3 linked regions of the Saccharomyces cerevisiae S288C genome follow. Changing the gene in region 3 together with the main gene of any one other region gives a genetic interaction. Each region holds a gene or a part of one and is shown on either strand. Other genes may lie near its edges.

Region 1 (4,122 bases), on a different chromosome or scaffold from region 3:
TTTGAACCAGTTAACGTCCCAAAGACCAGAAAGACCTACTGTAAGGGTAAGACCTGTCGTAAGCACACTCAACACAAGGTTACTCAATACAAAGCTGGTAAGGCTTCCTTGTTCGCTCAAGGTAAGAGACGTTATGACCGTAAACAATCTGGTTTCGGTGGTCAAACCAAGCCTGTTTTCCACAAGAAAGCTAAGACTACCAAGAAGGTTGTTTTGAGATTGGAATGTGTCAAATGTAAGACTAGAGCCCAATTAACCTTGAAGAGATGTAAGCACTTCGAATTGGGTGGTGAAAAGAAGCAAAAGGGTCAAGCTTTGCAATTCTGAGAGTTGTTATTGTTTATTGTTTTATTATATTTTTATAGTTATACTTTGACCATTAACTTTTTGTAAATTTTGCATACTTAACTCTTTAATATTGAAAACCTGCCTATTTGGCGTAATTTTTCATCCTGCCTTTGAACCTGTTGTAAACGTTCGCGTTGGCAACCATGATAAGTTAACAAGACACGTAGGCGTTCGCACTAAAACACAGCATTGCTACTAAAGTACGTTACTAAGAACCAGTAAAAATAAATATGTATAAATAAAATGTAGATACAGCTGATTCCCAATATCTCATTTCAGAAATGATCAACACCAGGCGCCCAGCAACGTTCAATCTATCTACGCTTCAGTACTACTAAAAGTGGGAAAAACGTGGGCTTTTAGTCATTCCCTGCAATTTTAAGAAAACTGCATATACTAGTAGTACATTCGCGATATAATTATGATGTTGGCCTTTTTAAAACAAAAACCAAAAGGAATTTGATTATAACAAAACTAAAGAGGTGTGGAAAATTAATACAAACCTTCGACTTTTTATAGTGCGGTTCCTACACTTTTTTTTTTTCCCGCTTACCCTGGTGATTGATTTTTTGGGTTCCGTTGTAGGGCTAGCACGAAAATAAGAATTAAGTAGCAAAATTTGAGATTTGCTCACTTTACATACAAAGAGCTTAAATAGTAGTATACTAGTAGTAATGCTAATTCTTATCACCTTTCTTTGCCGACTTCTTGATGTATTTTGGCGGAAACTTTTGATAAAATACATAATAAGCCCACGTAATAGTAGCAACAACAACAAATATAATCGACTTGTACGGCTCGTTCACGTCTAGAAACGGGTATGGATAGGCTTGGCCTTGCCCCGCATCTATCAGGAATGCTAAATATTGAAAATATGAAAATGCTAAACTGGTTACAATGAGCCATGCATGCTTATTCGATAATTTGAATTTCGTGCCAGATCCCGATAAGTAGTGATCGGCTAGTAAATATAAAATAGGATATAAGTGGATTGCCATATCCACTGTCATAGGAAAAGGTGTCTTTGCAGTAGATTCAACTCCATGCATTATTAAGTTGACAAAAAACAATCTAAGCGGCCAATAAACGGTAGCAACAATAGATTCTAATACTAAAGAAACTGGCAAAGTGACATGTCTACTAATAAAGTCTGATTTTTTCTTGGTTTCTAGATTCATCTTATTGTTTCTTTGGATATAATAATTAGAAATGTTAACCGCGTTATTAATGATTGTTGCAATAATAGATATAATGGTTAGAAACTGTTTATGGCCTGCTTTACTTAAACTTGGAGGTAAGACTACAGATGTGGCCCTAACAAACCCCCAGGTGCTCGTCAAAAGACACGCGGTGTTAAGGGTCAAAGTAAAACGTGTTGGTACCAGACAAGACATCATGGATTCTCCTTGTATTATGGTTTTAAAATACGAGAAAAATTTGCTAAGAATACAGCAAGACTAGTGTAGAGATAATCACTGACATATAGAAAGTGACTTATATAATTCGAGAAAAAAGGGACTTATATACTTATCGGAGATCTTTTCATTAAATGCGAAGCGCAGACTTCTCTAATCCGCGGATCTTGTCAAATTTAATGAGCAAGTCTGAAAAGGAAAAGAGAGCGATCATTATTTTTAATTGTCGCTTAAACAAAGGATTATATGTCACTTCTGCATGCGTTTCACGCTCTGTTTTTAGATGCTGCAAACAGGAACCTCTTATAGAATTTGTATCCCCAAAAATGATAGCATTTGTTCAAATAGATGGACGCTATTTGACAAAAATGTTAACATGTGACATTCACGTCAGAAAAGAGGCCAAAGAAGGAAGAGGGTACCAGCAAATACATAAACTTTCCTAAGGAATAGGTTAAGTTCTTTTATTCTGCATGTGTGGATGCTTAAGGTCATTTTAACGAATGGGTCCATTAGCCCCGCGCCTTTTTCAGGTCAGCGAACGCTTATAATTCCAAGCCATCTCATGTTATCTCATTATTTTAATGTGAGCGAATATGCTTTTTTTTTTTCAATTGCTGCTATGAGATTATTGCTTCCATTACTAATGGTAGGGTTCAAGGAGGCTGAAAAACTGGATGGAAACGGAAATGAAAAATAAGGGGGAGGCGTAACGGTGGCAACGCTGCATAGTGAACAATTCATTACCTATTTATCATTTTTAGTTGGAATTTGGCCACCTTATGGCACATTTACCATTTGAGGGATCTGAAGATCAAGTCCGCCTTAAGGGTGCATATCATGCGTCATTTGTCTGCGTTAAGGTGCAGACGCTTCCCTTGAAAATCGCCGAAAGAAGCTAAGCCGAAGTGACACGGGCCTTTTCCTGCGTCAAAAGAAGCCGATGATCTACCAGAAAAAGATCATTCAACAGTTAAGGGCTACAGTAGTTCTCAGCGAATACCGGCTGATGTACAGAAGCGAATTCCTGTTGGGGAATCTCACTGTACCCTTCAAATATGTAATGTTAGAGTAGCAAAAGTTCTTGGCTTAGCAATTACATTTAACGCTGATGATCCTCGGTTTATGAGCAGAAAATAGGGAAAAACGTGTACAAATGATTCTCTCAGAATGTGCAACTAGCATCCCCTTTTAGAAATGCCTTGTTGAAAATTCCCCTAAGACGTTACTCATTAGAATACTATAAAAATTGGGAGGAAAGCTAAAAACACTTTTGGTTTCTCTTGTTCCTATCAATCATGCTCTAGTATTTGATTTCGATCAGTTTTCACATCTAAGAACCCAATCAGCTATTATGAAATTCACATCAGTGCTAGCATTTTTTCTTGCAACTTTAACAGCTTCTGCAACACCACTTTACAAGAGGCAGAACGTTACTTCTGGCGGCGGTACGGTCCCCGTGATCATCACGGGTGGACCTGCTGTATCTGGTAGCCAGTCAAACGTTACTACCACAACGCTATTCAACTCTACTTCCACCTTAAACATCACTCAACTTTACCAAATTGCTACTCAAGTTAATCAGACTTTACAAAGCGAATCGTCTTCCGGCATTATAATCGTCACAAACTGGCGTTCCATTGAAACTTTGAGTTTCTTCTGCTCAATCGTTTTTAATACATCAAAGACCATTGTCATTACTGAGAATTTCTTATGGGGTGTACCAATATTGAGTAGTTCGGACGCGGAAGGTAGAGGCACTTTGGTTGCCGGTAGAGATAAAGTTGTGTATTCTGGTGTTTTCCCTCCTTACACTGTTCCTGTGGGCGTTTTGTCTGGTCAGAAGAATGTTCAATGGTTCTTTGATGCCTGTGAGCCAACTCTGATTGCCAGCAACTCCACAATCAGAACTCAATACTCGAATTTTACGAGCGCACAAATATCTTCTAATGCCTCCTCCGGGACCAATACATCCTCATCATCCTCCAGTCCATTGGTTCCAATTATATACGAAGAAGGATATTCTCAAAGCTTAATTCAATCACTAAGTTCTAGTATCCAAGGTTTGGTTGTTGTCAGCTCTGGTACAAGTCACAACAGTACCGTGGCATCATGGACATCGGTCGACTTCCCTGTCGTTTATGCAAGTGATGGATCCAGTGGTCATGATGGTTCAGGAATTGGGTTCATAAGTAACACAAGTATTCCACAAGGTGCAATTTCTGCTGGGTACTTGTCACCAATCCAAGCGCAAACTTTGTTGTCTATTGCTATCCATAATCAAGTCACAAGTAGTAGCGAGTTACAACAAATCTTCCCTGTTAGTCAACAATAAGATGATTATGTGTTGTGTACTACG
Region 2 (5,276 bases), on a different chromosome or scaffold from region 3:
AACGCTGGGTTCAATAAAAGAGTTTTCGTCATCGGATATAATCATGGGTTTAAATTCTAAAGGATCATGAAGATCCTCTTGCAGTTCTTGTTCCGTTTCCTCGTTCATAGTTGTTGGTATTAATGGAACATTGTTATGCCGTTGCTTTAATGATGTAGTATGCATTTTAGATAATACTTTGCCATGATAATCGTTTTTTGATTTACCGCCGCTTTCACTTTTTTTCTCTTGTGATCCTGCTTTCTTAGTAGTTTTATTCCTATGCATTAGACTAGTTTTGTTGTTTCGAGTAGGCAAAGAATATGCTCTACCACCTCGTTGGTTTGAGCGGTTGCTCAGACTGTATCTAGGAGGCTCTACTTCCACGGGTACTTCCACAGCCATTAACCCCCTAGGGCCTGGTATGTATTTTTTTATCGTCCTTATTGTGCTGCCTGAGTTCCCAAGTGATGTGGTCCTTGATTTACTATTCTGACCAGTCGAACTTGAAATGTTTAAAACCTTCGATGACTGCTTGCCTCCAAATTCTCGAAACGTGGTTTCTGCATCCTCGTGAGCCCTGTGTTGCCTTCTCCCCGCCGAATTATTAGAGGTATTCTTATGTCCTTGGTTTGGCAAACTCGACGTGCGCTTAGAGTATTGGCGAACGTTACCATTCATTAAGAGCATCCTTGAGTTAGTCCTAGAATTCGAGAGCATTGTATACCTATTAATCCCTGCGATTGACGTAGTTCGAGAGGTAAAACTCTGATTGTATTGCGGTATTTTACTCTTGTCAACGGTCCTCCCATTATAACTGAGCGCATTTCCAATTGCTGCTGCTGCTGCTAAGGCATCTGGACTACTTTCTTGGATCATCCCGCTATTTCCAATGCTCCCACTATTTGTTGATACTTGCCTCTTTCAGAGCTATCTGCCTTATGTTGATTATTAGGGTTAATAAATGCTATTTCCTCCCGCAATAATTGTGTAATTTGAACGAAGAATATGAAGAAGATGGAATGGCGATTTTCACTCTAAATTTTAAAAATTGCCTCTTTACAATAGCGAATTTCCTAACCCTTTTTTTTTTTTGTTGATTGCCTATTGCTCGTTCACTTCCCATTTATTTTCTCTCGAATTTCACCAAAAGTTGATGTGGATAATCAATCATCGGGCCTATTCCTGCGGGTAAAACGCAGGGCCCAACTCAGGATAGGGTTTAATATTATTTTAGAGGACTTACAAGAAGGAAGTTATATGGTTTAAAAATTGTAACAAAGTTAGAACACATTTATTTAGCAGGTCTAATTTAGGGCTGCAACTATCTTTTTGGTTATTCATATAAAATATAATTTTTTATTTATATAGAGAATACAAGTGGAATCATCTTTAACGCCAGCTTGTAGTGCGCATTGCAGAATAATGGAAGTTCAAAAATTAAAAGCGAAGGAGAAGTGATAGTAGAAAGACGGATGGGAGGCTGGGGGACGAAGAGAAAGTAAAAGGGTTAATTTATTCGACGGTAACAGATTTAGCCAAGTTTCTTGGAAAATCAACATCAATCCCTTTATTAACAGCCAACCAATATGACATTAGTTGTAATGGAATAATATTAATTAGACCTTGTAAACAATCAACAGTTTGTGGAACTTCTAAGGTTTGCAGGTCGATTGATTTAGATTTTTGCGCCCACACTTCATCATTTTCGTTACAAATAATAATTGGATGGCCCTTTCTTGCAGTAACTTGCTCAATAGAGGAAACTACTTTAGGGAATAGAGAGTCTCTGGTACCAAAAGCAATGATTGGCAAGTTTTCGTCCACCAAGGCCAAGACACCGTGCTTCAACTCACCTGCCAAAACACCTTCAGAATGCATATAAGAAATTTCTTTGATCTTCAAAGCACCTTCCAGAGCAGCAGCAAATTGGTAACCTCTACCCAATAACAATAGAGATTTTTGATCCTTTAATTCAGTCGCACAGAGCTTTTTTATTCTTGGTTCCAGCTTTAATACCTGCTTAATTTGGCCCGGGATTAACTTCAAGCCTTGAATGATTTCAATTCTTCTGTCTATTTTCGATACACGGTCATCTGACAGCGATAGAGCAAACATCACTAAGGCAATATACTGGGAAGTATAAGCTTTTGTAGAGGCAACACCAATTTCAGGACCAGCGTTAATATGAACACCACAGTGGGTGACACGAGAGATAGAAGAACCAACACTGTTAACAATTCCGACAGTTAAGGCTCCTCTTTCTAAACAATAATTTAGAGCCAGCATGGTATCCGCAGTTTCACCACTTTGTGAAACAAACACGCATACATCGTCTCTGAAGACAGGGCATTTTCTGTCCAGAAAGTCAGACGCTAATTCCACACTAACTGGGATATCTGATAATTCTTCGAAGATAGCACGAGTAGCCAAACATGAATGATAAGAAGTACCGCATGCGATCATGATCAGTCTCCGTGCTCTTCTGACAACTGGTAACCATGCCTTTAAACCACCCAATATCACTTTATTATTTTCATAGTCGATTCTACCTCTCATAGTATTGAAAGTAGATTCTGGTTGCTCATAGATTTCCTTTTGCATAAAATGGTCGTAAGGGCCCTTCATGATCTGAGCTAACTCCATCTCTAAAGTTTGAATGGACCTTGTCATTGATGCGCCTACTTCTCTTCTAGATCTATGAATATGTAACTCACCATCGTAAATATGAGCCAAATCGTCATCTTCTAAAAATAGCACCTTCTTGGTATGTTTAACAACAGATGCCGCATCCGAAGAAACAAAAAATTCCACCGGTGTTGGAGATCCATCTTCTGATAGGAAAGCCCTGGATTGAGAATGTCTCAAGTTAAATTCATTGGCGGCAATTGGTAGTAAATTGGCATTTTGGGAACCAGCTTCAAATTCACGAGCTTTCTTTGGGCCCAAGCCAAATGATTTGTTGTTAGATTTCAATGGAATTTCCGGTTGACCAGCGTTTTCTTCGGGAAATTCCACATCCACGAAGTCGACTTTTAGTTTTTTTTCAGATTTGACACCAATCAGTAAAGGGGACCCTTTTCTAGTGGCGATAACCTCATTAGGATAGTGACAAGATTTACATAATAACCCGTATGAACCTTCTAGTTCTAAAAGAACTAGCTTGGTTAATTCGTGGAAATCTAAGTCATGCCCATTTTGTAAATTTGTATTGTATAAATGCAAATATAGTTTAGCAATACACTCGGTATCGGTATCACTTTCGAATTTATAACCTTTGTTAATTAAAAGAGTCTTCAGTTCTCTAAAATTTGTGATGATACCATTATGAACGACCACAAATTGGTCTTCTGGGTCAGATCTTTGAGGGTGACAGTTAACTTGTTCTGGTCGACCGTGAGTAGCCCATCTAGTATGCGCAATACCACAATGAGAGACAAAAGTAACGTCTCTGTTCGGATTTTGCTTAGTAATCTCCTCTTTCAAAGCACTCACTTTACCGATTTGCTTATAGATGAAAGTAGAATCAGCTTCGTCACCATCGATAGCAATACCGGTGGAATCATAGCCTCTATATTCTAATCTTTGTAAACCATCCACTAAGGTGTCGATAATTTCTCCTCTGGATCTTTCCACTAGATAATTGCAGTAACCAAAGATACCACACATTTTTTTATAAAAGTTGCTGTTGATTTGCTCGAGAACTTATTGCTTATTTGGCCCTGATAACTATATAAGAAAAGAAATACAGTTATTCCTTGTTTATGCTGGCTTTTTGTCCACTTTTTCTCAACTATATAACTATGATGTTGGAAAGGACACCGGTTCTGTAACTTTGCAGTGAAAATAAGTGTGATGGATGACTGAGAATGCTTTCTTGTAAGCGAAAAGAAGTACGTGTTCCAAAAATAAAGCAGAAAGGCGAAAAGGGTCGAATGTAAGACACTAAATAAATATTTTAAGAAGAGGAAAAGTCGCCTCAGAAACGCTAAAATGCATCCGATTTCCCAAAGAGGAAGTCTAATGTTTTCGATTTGTGAAAAAAAGATAAAAATCGAAGAAAATGTAGGGAGCCGCGCGTTACCCGGATTGATATTTGAGTGATCGACGGCGTCACAAAAGAAAGAATGCTTGGCTAATCAAGAAAAGTATGTGGTTTGTTTCATCTAATACGGCTGTCAAGGCCCACATTGGTGTTCAAATGCATTTTTTATAGTTCGTGGTTACTGTTAATATTCTTTCCTAGTAGAATGTTTGGGGTTTAGGTATTTTTGATGTTTTATTTATAAATAGATATTTATATCTTGACGATTGTGGTGTTTTATTTTTTTTTTTTTATACATTTTTCTTTTCTTCCTGATTCGAAATAAAAGTATTTTTAGAAAAAGGATAAAGAAACAGAAATCAAAAGAAATAAAAAGAGTGTGGCAAAATCACAACTCGCCGAATTCATCGTAGACTGATCTCCAGTGCTTGAAAAATCCGTTGAAGAACTTAACACCTAATCCGACATCCTTGGACCCTGTAGCAGCTCTGATGCTGTGCATGGACAACTGTGCAATTCCCAGGTCTATGGTACGAGCACCTGTTTGAGAAGCCAATGATGGGCCGATAGTACCACCTGATCTTGAGTTGTTTTTGATTTGGAAATATTGCACTTTGTCTCCATTGCGGCGTGCTAATTCTTCTACTAGGGCAGTTCCTACGACATCTGTGGCCATATGACCGTTAGGATCCAGTGATAAAGTGATTCCGACATTAGGCACTGGAAAATGATTCTTCAAATAGACTTCAGGAAAGTTTGGGTTGTAGAGGTGGTTGACGTCTGCGGACAAGATGATGGAATTAGCCCAAACCGTATGCAAATCGACCGGTTTCTTAGTGAATGCAGAAGAACTGCGTTCCACCACTGACTCCAACAAGCCACCTTTTGCGCCTTGTCTTGTCAACGATCCGATTTCTTCATTATCATACAAAGTGACAGTAGAGAATAAATCTGATTCCTCGGTATTAACATCCTTAGCGTAGCAAATCAAAGCAATCATTGCTGCGAAACTACACAACCTGTCATCTAGACGTGGTGCAAAAAGGAAGTGTTTACCAATACCTCCAATGGTACCCTTTTGCACATCGAATAAGTCTAAATCCATTTGAATCAATTCGGACACTTCCACACCGGCTAATTTGGCAACGTACCTTAACAGGTGGATGCAGTGTTTGCCAAATAAGGGCGATTTCTTTTCATCATCCGTGGGAGGTTCATTACCTTCCTCATCCGGAGTGGGGAAGCCGATGAC
Region 3 (7,009 bases):
AATTTACATAGGACCCTTTTCCTGCCGTTTTTGTTTTGTAAGGGTGAGGAAAAACTGGGGACGATGAAGAGCAAAAAAGAAACGAACATATTTGTGAATACATTATACACCTGAAGTAATAAATTTGTGGGGGACGTCATTTAAAGCCAAAATACTTCTTAACACACAATTACTATAAACTATTCCTGTAGATTAGCCCACCCCACCTTGAGAAAACCTTCAGGATACCAAATGGCAGGACCCAACTAACACAAACTCATTTTCTTCAATTTATACAAAGTACGTTTTTCTTTCGTGAATAGTATATAGAGCTTTAAATATTTGCCTAGTAGGCTTCTGTATTTTCAGATTGGCGCTACATCAAGTTACCTCTAATGTATTGAATCTAGAATATAAAAATGTATGCAAACATTATCGTTGCAAATTTAATTTAAGTTGCGAGAAATTTAGGAATATTTCTGTTCAAACCCTACTGACGAGAGAAGAGCCAATATCAAATCTGGTGGTAATCCCGATGGAATCAGAATCGTCTAGTAGGAATTTGAAGTCTATTTTTTTAATATGGACTCATACAAAAAATTAGAAAAGGCGCCAATTAAAAATGTGCAATCAATGTAATGAAAGAACTGATCTCAATGGCAGGAAGATCAAATTGGTAGGTAGATCATGTCTATATAATGCATGTGAAAATTTTATAGAAAACTGTTGTGGGCTCTGGAAAACAGGCTGCTAAACAGTACTTAGTGGAATTAAAGTACGCTGGTGCAAAAGACCAATTTCAAGGTCACTACTATATAAGGTGCAAAAAAAGCTTGTAGTAAAAATTATTGCTCCTAAATGTCACCCTATAGAAAAAAAAAAGCTTTTATATAAGCATGCATGATATTTTCAATATAGTGCCTTTAAAATATATATCCTACGAAAAAATTGGTAACTTTTATCCAAACTTATAATATTAAAAAAAGCGCTACTTATATGCATCATTTCATTTAATCATTGAGAACAATTTCCTTGATTGTAGCTCCTTTGTTATCATCATCATAATCATCATACACTCCTTGTACTGCCACAACTATGTATCTTGTTTTCCTCCAATCTGTGTTCCCTTTATCACCCACCTGCAATTTATCATAATCAATAGTGAAAGTCGTTCTATTACTGGGTAATATCTCGATTAACGACTGGTTGCGACTTGCTTCGTAGTATGGCTCACTTGGGCTCACTGGCACGTTATCCAGAATTTTCACAAATTTTCTTTTTAGAAAGTTAAGTCTGGGTATTTGTTCAATTAGCTTGGCTAAGTCTTCCTTCTTCCAGTGCAATAAGGCTTGCACATCATCCAAAGATTCATCATCCTCTTGTTCTATGCCATCAAAATCAATAACGTTCTCGACAGGAATTCCGGCATTATCTAAAAGCTGACCAATGGTTTCATTAAGAAGTTGATCATTTCCCGAATTTTGCATAATTTCTGTCACGTTCGCAAATAAATTTTCGACTTTTTCAGAATGAGGCAAAATAGATATGGAAATGTTTTTTGCGGGCCTCTGCCCCCAAAGAATCATTCCCTTGGTAATCTCTTTCTCGTTGTATTCACCTAAATCAATCAATAGCTTCGCACGGTGAATTTTGTCTAAGGGTTGCCAATGCGTGTAATTATTCCCATCTAGAGCAGAGAATGCAACGTCACCAGGAACGCCGGCCGTCAAGTTTGTTATTTGCTTATTTTCCGCTATGTTGTTTCTTGCGTTTAAGCCAGGCTTGAACAGTTGGACTGTAAGCTCTTGTTTCGGTTTTAAAAGATAATAGGTACCATACCTATCCATCCTCATTGGATCACCAACACGGTCGACGTCTCTACGCTCTAGATTTGGTTTTCTTTCGTTTTCGGAACCATTATAGAAGTTGATATCCTGGTCATGTATTAGAGATCTGTTTGGTATCTTTATATGAATAGGAACATCTCCTGATTTATGAACAATCGTACCATTGTGGTCGTCAATTATTATATCTAAAACTTGGTTCATATATTTGAAGTTTCTAATAGCGATACCACCAGGGAGCAACGGTAGTTCTATTGGATTGAACCTTAACAAACGGTTAATTTTTTTAGTATCTGGATCAACCTCATAAGAATATCGGATTCCTGTTAACCCAAACAGAATGCTCTGTAGAAATCCACCGTTAGCTGTTAAAAAGGGGAATGCTGGCTGGGTTAATCCGTTTGTTAAAAAGTTGTCGTCTGATTGCTCACTAAATTGAGCGAAAGGAGCCCGTAAGTATGGAAGAACCGATTTATATAAGTAACTTTGAGAAGAAGAGCCGTGATTCAGCAGACCAGCAGCTGCGGCCACAAAAACCGGATATGTCATTGCAGGCCCAGACGCAGACTGTCTTTCTGAATAATAATAAAGATCTTTAATTGCATTGTTCAATATGGATTCATCATTGATATATCCAAGTGGGTAAACCATTAAAGTCACATCCGCCTGTTTAATCTCCACTGAGCTATTCATACCAGAATATTCCAAAGTGATGTTAGATGAGGATCTAGGGATATAAATATCTTTGGAAATTTCACTCCATTTGGGGTCAACGACCTCGCCGAGATGATTGCCAATGTCTGTTGCCCACTTTAGAAGTGTTTTAATGCCAGCATTCGTGAAAGCCCCGTTATTGATGTGATTAGCAAACTCGTCGGGATCTGTCAAATTATATGTTTCATACAATCCTAGGGAAGAATTGTACTTAACATAAGCAGTAAAAAATTGGGCTGCGTTTTTGATAATTGGCCATGTAGTATATCTCAGATACTCGTCATCAATCCCTTCGTGTCCATTCAAGTATATGGAAAAGGAGGCCATAGCGACATCAACGTTAATATGGTATTCGTAATCGACACAAGGTCCCGTAGAAGTACAATTAGCGTACTTACCAGATGTCCAGGGGTATATTGCTCCGGGGTATCCATATTTCTCTGCATTTAACTTTGCCTGCGAATGTGTAGCATTTCTGTAATTATTCATATTTTGAGCCACATTTGGGAAGAAAGGCAATAGGGCAGGTTCCATCCATATATCTGCGTCCCAGAACACCATACCACCATAGGAATCTGATGACAAACCAGAAACTCCCACGGGAAGACCCCTATCGCTCGAGACATTGTAATCTCTTGTATTTGCTAGTAAATGGAATAGGGACGATCTTGCTGTCATTTCTAAAAGACTGTCAGAAGGAATTTCAATGAAGGCGTCGTTGTAAAGGTCATACCACGCACGTTTGTGACTTGACAGAAGCTTCTCGTAATTGCCTTTACTGTTTAGAGCTATCATTTTGGCCAAACCAATATTAGTATTGTCTTGTTGTTCTTTGTTCTTATTGAACTCAGTAGACATAATACCAACATACTTATGAACGATTATCTTGGGTTGGTCCTCTGTCAAAATAACATTATAAATATTAGAAGAAACATCTTTTTCTTCAAAAGATTCACTAGAATTTATTGGATTGGTGGAATTTTCATACTTTACAGTACACGTTGAGTAAATAGCGCAATTAGAAGATGGAACGTTATCTGGCTGAACAATCATGAAAACCGCATTATTTTTTTCGTCTGTTCCCGTGCTATGTAGAACAGTCCTATGTGATGTGTTGAAATCAAGTATATCCCATATATTAACATCTAATGAATCAAAATCCGAAGGTAAATGGTCCGTATTCAGGGAAATTTCCAAAGAAACCACTCCCAGTGGATGAATGTGCCGATGTGCCCAGATTTCACTTTTAACATGTATTTGACTGTTTAGCCAATCTAACTCCGTAGTTACGATACCATCCTTCATTGATAAGTTTTGGCTATAATTAGTTACGTCATCCAACGTAACATTTTGTGGATTGAACCACTTAGAATCATTCACTAATGAGAACTGTAGATTGGTCCATTGTGGAATAGATGAAATGACAGTGGAATATCCTACATCATCCAATTCTGGGAAGTTTGTTGAATTTAGTTTTGGTTGTAGACAATAAAAGTCCGATACAAACGCACCGGCAAATCTATGATTTCTTAAGGGCCAACCGTTATTCAAAGCGCCTGGTGCGTCTGTGTAAAAATTCAGGGTGTCTAAGGCATAGCCGAACCCAATATTGGGAATACGACTACCTATATAACCGTTAGCAACATATGGTTGTCTCGAGTATGTATTCTTTGAGAACAAGTTACTTCCCAAAATCATGTTCTCATCATCATAATATGCCGTGTTGAAATCAGAAAGGAGTTCATAAAGTTTTTTAGAAGATTCCCTTGCTTCTGGATCGTAGTTCAACGTATGATTTCCCAATGACGGCGATATCACACCCAGAGGGTTAAATAGGGCAGCCCTCGAGGCATGTGAGTATGTAAGCCTGGAACTCTTTGTTAAATATAATGCAGTGACGAAGATAGCTAATAAAAATAGCATCATCAGTAAAAGTATAGAGTTGATCAAGTCAAACCTTGAGAAAGAACGATAATTTTTAGAGCGAGAGTTATTACCGGTACTATTTTTGTTCCTCAAACTAGGAGAATTGTTAAGGTTTGAATAAGAAGCCTCCGCATTGAACCAAAGCGATCTTATTCTTTTCATTATTGGAATGAGGAAATTTCGGTAAAAACAGATGCAATATTAGGTGATACTAGCAGGCTCTCATAAAGGACTGATGAATCCTTTTTTAAGGAGCAATAAGATTCTTTTTTTTTTTTTTTTTACTTGAAAAAAAGGGAGTGGTAATATGGTGAAAAGTGGAGAAATTTTGTTATTATTATTCAATAACGACAAGAATTCTCTTTCCGAATATAAAAACGGCGCGGCTGTTGGTTTGTCGTGATACGTAGTGCTTGCTTGGACTTGGAAGTAAGACTATACCAAAAAGGAAATAAATTTTGAGGGGCAAAGAAGAGATGCTTGTACTGCCTTGCTGACTCAGATTGTTCGTTGATTTTGCTCAACTTTCCGCTTGCTTAGAGTGAACGTGATAGCTTTACGGCTAGAATCAAGATGAATGTTCCTTTCTTTTTCCGAAGTATTTGCCCTTATTGAAAAAGAATGATAAGGGATATACGAATAGACTGGTAAATATTGTAGATACACTTGTTTTTAGTGAAGCGAGAATAACAAAGCTTCAGCTAGAGACGTGACGGCTGAGAGGTGACCTGAAAGAAAGTAGTTATTGCTGGCTTGAAGAGTGAAATAACCTTGGTACAGACTTTGATAGCACGAACTGTTTGCCATCCAGAGAAGAAAGGGCCTCTCATTTCCTGCGGTATCCCTTCGTTGTTTAAGCCGTTCACAATCCGGGTAATAAATTTGATCTTAACACAGTTTTTATATTAAGAAAGATCTCAAACAAATGAGTGAATATTAAGTTTAAGAGAGGAAAATACTGTGCTGCACAGATATTGATAGAATGACGGATATTCAACTAAATGGAAAGAGTACATTAGATACTCCTTCTGCTACCATGTCAGCAAAAGAAAAAGAGGCAAAATTAAAATCGGCTGATGAGAATAACAAGCCACCGAACTACAAAAGAATTTCTGACGATGATTTATATAGGCACTCTTCTCAGTATAGAATGTGGTCATACACTAAAGATCAACTTCAGGAGAAAAGGGTAGATACCAATGCCCGAGCGATTGCTTACATTGAGGAAAATTTATTAAAATTTAGAGAAGCACACAATTTAACAGAAGAAGAAATAAAAGTACTAGAAGCAAAGGCTATCCCTTTGACAATGGAAGAAGAACTCGATTTGGTGAATTTCTACGCAAAAAAAGTTCAGGTAATAGCACAGCATCTAAATTTGCCAACCGAAGTAGTGGCCACTGCGATATCCTTTTTTAGGCGTTTTTTCTTAGAAAATTCTGTTATGCAAATAGATCCTAAAAGTATTGTACATACTACTATCTTTCTAGCCTGCAAATCGGAGAACTATTTTATTAGCGTGGACTCGTTTGCTCAAAAGGCCAAATCTACTAGAGATAGTGTTCTCAAATTCGAGTTTAAGTTGTTAGAATCATTGAAATTTTCACTGTTGAACCATCATCCTTACAAACCGCTTCATGGGTTTTTCTTAGATATCCAGAACGTCCTTTATGGTAAGGTTGATTTAAATTACATGGGCCAAATATACGATAGGTGTAAGAAGAGAATAACTGCCGCATTATTAACCGATGTCGTATATTTCTACACTCCACCCCAAATAACACTAGCAACATTATTGATTGAGGATGAAGCCTTGGTCACAAGGTATTTAGAAACAAAATTTCCCAGCAGAGAAGGTAGCCAGGAATCAGTACCGGGAAACGAAAAAGAAGAACCACAAAATGATGCCAGTACAACTGAGAAAAACAAAGAGAAGTCCACAGAGAGCGAAGAATATTCGATAGACTCCGCGAAGTTACTAACCATAATACGCGAGTGTAAAAGTATTATTGAAGATTGTAAACCTCCGAGTACTGAAGAGGCCAAGAAAATTGCGGCAAAAAACTATTATTGTCAAAATCCATCAACACTGATTCAGAAATTAAAAAGGAAGTTGAATGGAGAAGATACTTCGTCCACCGTTGAGAAAAAGCAAAAAACATGAAACAGCTCTGTTACCGTAGGTTTCTGTTTTATATATATATATAGATTAAGATGCATAGGTATATAGACCGGCGCCATTTTATATTATTTCATGCCATGAATATATACTGCAAAAAATGTGACAATGAGTAAATTGCTAACTAGCGCTACAATGTGATTATTTTTGCTACACACGTTTATCCATTGAATATTCTATTTACAATGTATGGCGTATTGATACACATGTACCTATATATATCAACAAGTGCTTTTATCTTAACTTTTATGAAAGATTAATGATTGGTTTAATCATCAACGATACTCCGTTCCATGGTGTGACTTTTTTAAGGCTTGTCACTGGGGGAAAGCGACGGTTGGTTAAGGGATGAAAGAAATTAATAACC

What was found.
Region 1: mutations in ATH1 (region 3) and YHR140W together harm fitness more than expected from each alone (negative genetic interaction), as found in Saccharomyces cerevisiae (one large-scale study listed by BioGRID).
Region 2: mutations in ATH1 (region 3) and GFA1 together harm fitness more than expected from each alone (negative genetic interaction), as found in Saccharomyces cerevisiae (one large-scale study listed by BioGRID).

What each region holds. Positions count from the first base shown.
Region 1 is NC_001140.6:378,195-382,316, reverse strand, and holds YHR140W (uncharacterized protein), read right to left. Parts: upstream 1,746-4,122; coding exon 1,026-1,745; downstream 1-1,025. Other genes in the region: 60S ribosomal protein eL42 RPL42B, read left to right, coding at 11-327; YHR139C-A (uncharacterized protein), read left to right, coding at 1,898-2,209; SPS100 (Sps100p), read left to right, coding at 3,118-4,098.
Region 2 is NC_001143.9:241,726-247,001, forward strand, and holds GFA1 (glutamine--fructose-6-phosphate transaminase (isomerizing) GFA1), read right to left. Parts: upstream 3,649-5,276; coding exon 1,495-3,648; downstream 1-1,494. Other genes in the region: SEG2 (Seg2p), read right to left, coding at 1-858; YKL104W-A (uncharacterized protein), read left to right, coding at 3,307-3,561; metalloaminopeptidase APE1, read right to left, coding at 4,413-5,276. UniProt on the Saccharomyces cerevisiae protein: Involved in amino sugar synthesis (formation of chitin, supplies the amino sugars of asparagine-linked oligosaccharides of glycoproteins).
Region 3 is NC_001148.4:612,995-620,003, reverse strand, and holds ATH1 (alpha,alpha-trehalase ATH1), read right to left. Parts: upstream 4,626-7,009; coding exon 990-4,625; downstream 1-989. Other genes in the region: TFIIH complex kinase subunit CCL1, read left to right, coding at 5,446-6,627.